Coturnix japonica: one gene and its partner. The protein of the gene in region 1 purifies or fractionates together with the protein of each later gene. This does not show direct contact. Links are inferred from orthologs where the notes say so. Each region holds a gene or a part of one and is shown in the gene's direction. Other genes may lie near its edges.

The links.
Region 2: the proteins of DERL1 (region 1) and alpha-1-antitrypsin-like purify together in Homo sapiens (affinity purification with western blotting; 4 studies listed by BioGRID). This does not show direct contact. The link is inferred for Coturnix japonica from reciprocal best matches to the Homo sapiens genes DERL1 and SERPINA1.

What each region holds. Positions count from the first base shown.
Region 1 is NC_029517.1:124,314,835-124,318,484, reverse strand, and holds part of DERL1 (derlin-1), read left to right. Parts: intron 1-925; coding exon 926-1,021; intron 1,022-1,606; coding exon 1,607-1,659; intron 1,660-2,803; coding exon 2,804-2,914; intron 2,915-3,650. UniProt on the Homo sapiens protein: Functional component of endoplasmic reticulum-associated degradation (ERAD) for misfolded lumenal proteins. Forms homotetramers which encircle a large channel traversing the endoplasmic reticulum (ER) membrane.
Region 2 is NC_029520.1:41,319,782-41,324,017, reverse strand, and holds the start of alpha-1-antitrypsin-like, read left to right. Parts: upstream 1-1,416; 5' UTR 1,417-1,524; intron 1,525-3,154; 5' UTR 3,155-3,171; coding exon 3,172-3,823; intron 3,824-4,236.

The sequences.
Region 1 (3,650 bases):
TGCTTGTTTTCAGCGCCTTTGCTGTTGTCCTCATCTTACTTCTGTTCCCACCACCCAAAGCTCGCACCAATATCCCTAATTCTGTGCAAGATTACCTCCATTTTTACCTGAAAAATGAGATTATAGAGTAGGACAGCTGGGTCTTCCTTGCTCTACCAAGGTAACTTTGCCATGTCTGGCTGTGGTACTTTGAAGGGGTTGTCAGCACAACTTCCATGGGTGGTGGCATGAGAGACACAGGGTTTGGAAATTAGATGCAGGAACCCTTAATCTGGCATGTTAGTGTAGTCTCAGGTGAGTACGTGTTTAGGTTGGTGCTTTGGTTTGTGCGTTGAAATGATTGTGGCACAAATGTTGCTGATTGCTGTAGGTGTGTTACCATGCATCTGGGAGTAGTGGTTACTGTTTCACTTAGTTGCTTTGGAGCCCTTTGACTTGGTCTTGTGATGATGTTGCTACCCTGCTTCAAAGCCTGAGATACTTTGGTGCGTCTCTGCAGCTCTGTGCTGAAGCATGGACTGCGCGTTAGGAGTGAGGAGAAATAATCATGTTTGCTCAGACACTCAGGGTAAACCTATTTTATAATATGTGACTTGGTAATTTTGTACCTTTTCAGGAATTACACCACCTGTTTGGGCTTACGTGCTCACTGAAGCTGTCATATACTGTAACCCAGTAGGGGGGACTTGTCTTCATTAACAGAATATTTTCCAGCACAGCAAAAGAGAATGACTAAGTATGCTCTCTTGCTTAGCATTCTGATCTTGTGTGCAGATGCATGGCATGTGGTGGTGAAGATTCTGAGGCATTCTTTCAAGACTTGATGATGTATTGTGCTTTTAAACCTTAGAGCTTCTGCTGCCTGTTGAAGTTTCTCAGATGTCTGTGAAGTTGATGGTAACTTTTTGTCTTTTTAACATTGCAGTTGCTGATGATTCCGCTCATCATGTCAGTACTTTATGTGTGGGCCCAGCTGAACAGAGACATGATTGTATCATTTTGGTTTGGAACAAGATTTAAGGTAAGTCAGATTATTTGGGAAGGTTTCTGCCTGGAATACGCTTACAAAGGGAATGAGGGATGAAAAAGAAGTATTTTCTTCAATTAAGGGTGTCCTATGCTTTCATGAAGACATATAGTCCTTCACATGCAATGAAGACAGTTCTCTCTGATGTCTTCCATACGATGCCAGGACATCTCTTCAGTAAAACCACACTGAGTGACAACTGAAATTCATTGATCTGAACAAAAGAGGGGGAAAAAAGTAATTAACCTGACTAAAAGCTGAACAATAGTGAGAAAATGTTTGGAAACTGCTCTTTCCTGTGCAGATTGGTTTGATTCTGCCACGTCTTGTGATGAAAATGTAAATGGCAGAAGATGTATCTACATAAAATATTAAAACAAGTATGATTTGTCCACACGTTAGTGGTTTCTCAGTGTAAAGCAACGGCTGTTTTGGTTATAATCTACTTAAGTTAATATAACAAGATCTGCGCATTGCTAAAAACTGAGAGTCTAATCATACTTAGTAGTGCAGTGGATCTTAAGCAGGTTCAAATTCCACACTTGGACGTACAATTTCTGTATCTCTGTTCTTTTTCAGGCCTGTTACCTACCCTGGGTTATTCTGGGATTCAACTACATCATTGGTGGATCGTATGTATTTACAATTAAGGCCTATTTAAAGTTGTGAAGTCTTTTACAGCTATCTCTTATCACTCTCATCAGCAGCGTTACTAAAATAAGAGGCTTAGAGCTGTATAATCGGTCTGATCTTGGTCAGTGTTGTATGGTGATTGTTTAAGATAATGCAAAGAGGAGCTATGGATGTGAGAGCTAAGTGAGGAGAAAGTAATAGTAAAGTGATTGTTCAGGTAGATCTTTGCATTAGGCCATTTCCTTACTAAAAGCATGATGCCCAGCAAAGAAAGATTTCATCCTGTAAGACCAGTCATCGCTGCTGATTTTTAGAAACAAACTTAATTTGAATCTTTTAAGCAGTGTTTCTTCTTTCCATCAGAACCTTATCCAATGTGTAGCTTTTATCAGCATGTGAAACACGGAGAAAAGACAATTGCAAGTCTGTGGAGTACCATATTAGCACTTTCTGTGTCTGTTGGCCTGCTTTGCATTTCTCTGAGCGTAGTGATGCAGAGTCCCGCTTGTGCAGTCTTTCCTATTAGTGCCCTGTATTGGCTGTGGCCACGTGGTGCCGCTGTAACACAGTGACAACAGCAAGTTGCATGGTTGATTTATAAAAGGAGGAGATGGGAATACAGCAAAATAAACCTCAGTTCCCTTTTCTGGCTGTGCCTCCTACTGACTCATCCATTACTTGAGAAGACTGCTTGCTGTTAGATACCTGCTGTTTCTGTGCATGACAGAAAACACTCAAGGGCCTCCATTCAGCAGCGTTCCTGCAAAATTAGGAACACAACAGTACAGCAGGAGACAGGTTGTCCAGCAAAAACAGCAAGGACTTCTCAAGCTCTACCAACTTTTCTTTTAGACACTGATGGCTATAGGGTTTAATTCTCTGTGGTAAACAAGCATTTAATTGCATTTTCAGTACAGTCTGTGAGAAGGCTTGGAAGGGAGGGTTGGAACAGCCTGTTGGTGCGTTGGTGCTGAATGCTGGCCCTTCTAAAGAAGTGGCTGCAAAATGCTGAGGGAAGGGAAATTTCTGTAGTTCACAGCCCTGGCAGTGCCTGTGGCAGGTGAACAGTGGTAACTGGCAGAAGATGAGTATTCATTTATTGCTGGGGAAAACAGCCTGCGAAACTGTTCTTTTTCTTTGCAGAGTCATCAATGAGCTCATAGGAAATCTGGTTGGACACCTGTATTTCTTCCTAATGTTTAAATATCCAATGGATCTGGGAGGAAGGAATTTTCTGTCCACACCTCAGTTCTTGTAAGTTGACTTAATGCTGTAGCTCACTGTTTATTTGGACCAGTTTTCAGGATTGTTTATAAGGTCGTATATCTTCTGGGATTGCAAAGTGTAAAATACCTCGTTAAATGAGTGTGCTTCAGCATATAGTGGCTGTGCTGTAGTGTATAGACTGTGACATCAAAAATGTTTCTTTTCATTGGAGGTGGTCAGTGTTCTTTGTTTCCCCAGTGGGTAGCTTGTGTTCTATACCTGCTCTTGAGAATAAGAGGAAAAGCTATGCCTCTAATAATGAATTAAACTAGTAAAGAATTATCAACAGTTGCCAATTATCAAACAGTATCCATCAGATTCTTTTTAAATAATTTCCTGTAAACAACCTTTTTCTGTATTTCCATGTATTGTTACAGTAACTACCAGTTAAGCAATACATAATGACAGAAATCCATTGTAGGTTTGCTAGGCACCATTATATGTATCTGCTCTGCAGTTGGTGTTGGACACCCTGGCTGAGAATTCAAGTCTTGGATTCTAAAGTGCTCTTTTTGTAACTTATTCATTGTTTTGGCACTGGAATATTAAGATCAGAAGCCAAAGACTGCAGTTTCAATTCCCCGTGTCCACATCCATTTGAGTTGTAAATACCAGTGCCTCTACCAAACTTCAGTTAGCAACATGGTTAGTTAAAGGTTTGTCCTGTAGAAAGGTTAAAAGATAAAAAGTGGAAATACAGTTGCACCTCCTGTGCAAGTTTTTA
Region 2 (4,236 bases), on another chromosome or scaffold:
AACTATTTAAGAAGTGTTAAATACTTTTATCTTTCTCAGTGTGTTGTTTCTCATTTTCTTAAAGATTTACTCGACAGATTATGAGAGCAATTCAATATTAGAACAAGTTCCTCTGTGGAACCTGACCTTTCTAAGGCAACAGTTACCCATCATACCAATCTCTGCAATCAGAGCATTTGCCTTGGTTACAGGGATATTCAAGATTATTCATGTTTTCACAGCCCTCCCTTACCTGAAGATGGACAATCCTACGACTCCAACATCCTAATTAAGCTGAAACTGCAAGAGTAGAGTTAGCATTAGATCTGGAGTACTGTGAAGGATATTGTCCTGGAGGATAGAAATCAATGTCTGCTCCTCCCTGAGGATGGTTTAAAATTGAGTTTGGCAAATTAATCCTGATGAACTCTACAAAGTGTGCTGTTGAGTGGGTGTTGGATGAAACAGCGATAATCTGTAATATTGGTAGGGCTTCTAGAAAAAAGGAGATGTAGGATGGGAGGATAGTAATAATTCCCTTTCAGACACTGGAATAACAAGTTTTTTGCCATGCCCCTTGTTAGAGTATCTGACATGGAAGTGCATGTAAAGCAAAGGCATGCCACTGAATTCCTCCAGGTGGAAAAATGTGCACCTACTGACATTCATCAACACTTGCCAAATACTTCTGGAGACCAAGCAGTAGAGGCAAACACAGTGAGGCAGAGGGTGATGCATTTCAGGAATGGTGATAGCTGTGTGAAAGACAAGCCACATTTCCAACATACAAATCTAGCTGTCACACTGTGGTATGGATTGCATCTCAGTCATCTCACTCACACAAATCAATTCATGGTGGTTATTATCACAAGAAATAGCATTTTGTAGCTTACAATTTGCTCCACCAAATAGTGTTATTGAGCTCTTTGTACTTTTTTTTTTTTTTTTTTTTTTTTTCCCCCATGGAAAGAAATAAAAGGCATTACATTTGAAGCAACTTATCTCATTAGAGTATATTTACAATGTGCCCTGCAACACATATTGCAGGGCAATATGGAGGTACTGAGCTGTTCCTGACCTAGCTTTTTGGTGCTTCAGGTAGCTGATTAGATATCCTTCTATCAGGATATCCCATGCGGAGAGTCCTGTAGGACAAACTACCCTTTTCACAACCAGACATCACTCAGCACCTATCTTAGATTTCCAGTTCTCTTACTGTGTGGATTTTAAAATCCCAAGGTAGTGTGCTATGCAAAGCGCTTTTGCCCACAGGTTTGCACAAATGCAAGAGTAGTGTGAACCTTGCTCTTTACCCTCTGAGCCCTAGATGTTGGCATCATTTCACCTATGTGTTGAAAAACTGGGTTACGATGTTTGATGTCTAGAAAAAAAAGTAGCTAACTCATTCTTTGCTTTACAAATAAATATTATTTGCTTTGATTAATATTTACCAGTGGACATTAACTTAATATTACCGAGCAAAACGGAGAGTAGGGAAGGAGCACTGTGAATGAGAGGTCCAGCAGACTCTTTTTAAACTACACTGTAAGTACTATATCATACTTAGAAGAATTTGAACTTGTATTGTCTATGATCTCTGCAATTTAATACATAGTATTTAATTATGAGATGATTTTATTTTGAATACGTAGTTGGAAATCTATCTTCTGGAACCATGGTCTATGCATTGAGAATGGGATTCCATCAGTGATGCAGCTCTTAGATACTGTGTCAGGATGACAAGGGAGATGAGGTCCAAAGTGAATGTTCAGCTGCCATTCACCCCAAGGTGAAACACTGAACCCCGCCTCTACTACCAGAGGAGTAAATTCACTTGCAGCTCGATGTCCTAGATACTTTAGGCTGATACAGGACTAGCGCAGGAGCTGAGAGTAATATATTGATACCACAACCATCCTCAAACACTGCAGTTAAGTGGCACAGGGGCTGACACTAATCTCTCTCAGAAGCAGATTTCTGGTGTTACATACAGAGTATTTACAGGATCATAGTGTACTGTTTTCATTTAGATTTTACTTTTTCTCTGTCTATAATTTTATCTGTCATTTTAGGCAAACTGAGCACAGTTCCCACACTCAGCACTTAGACATCTTAGATCTCAAGTGTTTCATAAAGGGCAGCCACATAAGAAGAAATCCAAATTTAACAACTCTCCATGAAATGTTTGATATAGGACCCAAACCTGGCTTCAGACACAACCTGAGGTAAACCATGGGGCAGATTCACACACTGTAGAATAATCATGCTATTGCTCTGAACAGTGACATCACCTCTGTTTTCCTGAAGTACGCTATCTCCTTTATGTTTTTGAGATTTCTGATTTGAGATAATTTACATGATATATTCTATGGAGAACATACTTCCACAATATCTCCTAAAAAGGGAAGAAGAGAAACTGTGGGGTTATGTAGAATTTGTTTCTATCAGTTTAAGGAAGACGAAAGGTCATCCAATTACCCAAATATATACACAGCAAGGCCACAATTAAGCTTCTGCTCTAGCTTTTCCTAAACTCTTGTGTGTTCAGTTTTATAGCCTTATGGATACTTTATGTGCAATGAAGAAATACAACAAAATTTCTTGATTTATCCTCATTTTACTGAAACATGTAAGATAATGTGCTGAAATTACACAGTTCTTGAGTTCAGAGCTGCTGTACCAGAGGCAGAAAGATACAGTTTAAATGGTGAAGCATCAGATGGATTCTCTTCTACTATAACTGATGTTACCTCTTCATTACTGCAGTGCATGAAAACCCAAGTCATCACAAGATTATGTCTACTGTGCTCTGCCAAAGTGCTTCCTGAATGTATAGGAACAATATGCAAACTCAGTTGTATACACAGATACCCTTAGAAATGCAATAATGCCATGCTGATCAGACACAAGGACAATTTCAGATAAGGTGCCTCACAAAAAGCAACACCTCACAAAAACCAGCACAGAATCATTTCTTCCCTAGTGGTGTCATGTTAGTATCTTGGTTGGAAACAAATAGAGCAGACCAGAAATGGACTAGCGATGAGGCCCAATAGAAAGAAAGTAGCAATCCTAAACACTGGCATATGAAAATCAGTATTTCAAATACAAAATGAACTGTTTTTATGCAGGAAATATAACATTCTCTACAAGGTAATCTTTCCTTTCTCAACAGAATTATTCAGAAGGAAAATGAAGCCTGTATTGTATTTGTGTTTGTTTCTTGTTGGACTTCAAGTCCAGGCGCTTCCTAACCCCAACCACAGCAACAAACATAAGAAAGAGAGACCTCATTCCATAGGACACCATGGGCATGTGGAAGGTGAAAACTTGGCTCACATGAAGATAGCCCCCAGCAATGCTGAATTTGCATTCAGGTTTTACAAGCAGGTTGCAAAGGAGGGAGGTAACAAGAACATTTTCTTCTCTCCCTTGAGCCTTTCTACTGCCTTTGCAATGCTCTCACTGGGGGCTAGATCAAACACACTCAGCCAGCTGCACAAATGCCTCACATTCAACCTGACAGAGATGGAAGAGCAGGAGATCCATGAGGGCTTCCAGCATCTCCTCCAGCTGCTGAATGACCCTTACCGAGAGATTCAATTGAGCATGGGCAATACTCTGTTCATAGATGAGAGACTGAAACTGCAACAAAAATTTTTGGATGATGTCAAAAATTTTTATCATTCAGAAGCTGTTTCTATGGATTTCCAAAATTCTGAACATGCTAAAAAGGAAATCAATAACTACATAAAAGAAAAGACCCATGGTAAATTTGTAGACTTACTGAAGAGCCTTGATAAAGATGCAGTGATGATTCTGACTAACTACATTTACTTTAAAGGTGAGTGAAAAACATTGGTTAAGGTTGTAAATATAGGCTGTAGAAGTCTGATCCAAGTCAAGGATCAAGATTTTTTTTTCCCATGGTTAACCTACGCTACCATACAATTTAAACTATATCTTTATTCTTCTAAATGAAGTAAGGAAATACTTGAAAGGCAGATATAAGGAATCAATTTTTATGAGTAAAAAATAAAAAGGAATAAAAGGATATAAGTACCAACCAATACTGTATCATCTCAAATTAGGCTCAGAGCTAAAAGTATTCAGAAAGGGCAAGCTTACTATCATTTTTTGAAAGGCACAATTATTTTGCTGGGCAAGACACAATCAAAATAAAATATGAATTAAGCATAATAAGGGAATAATTTCAGAGAATGCATAAGGTCAGTTCATAGAAGCAGATAAAGGCTC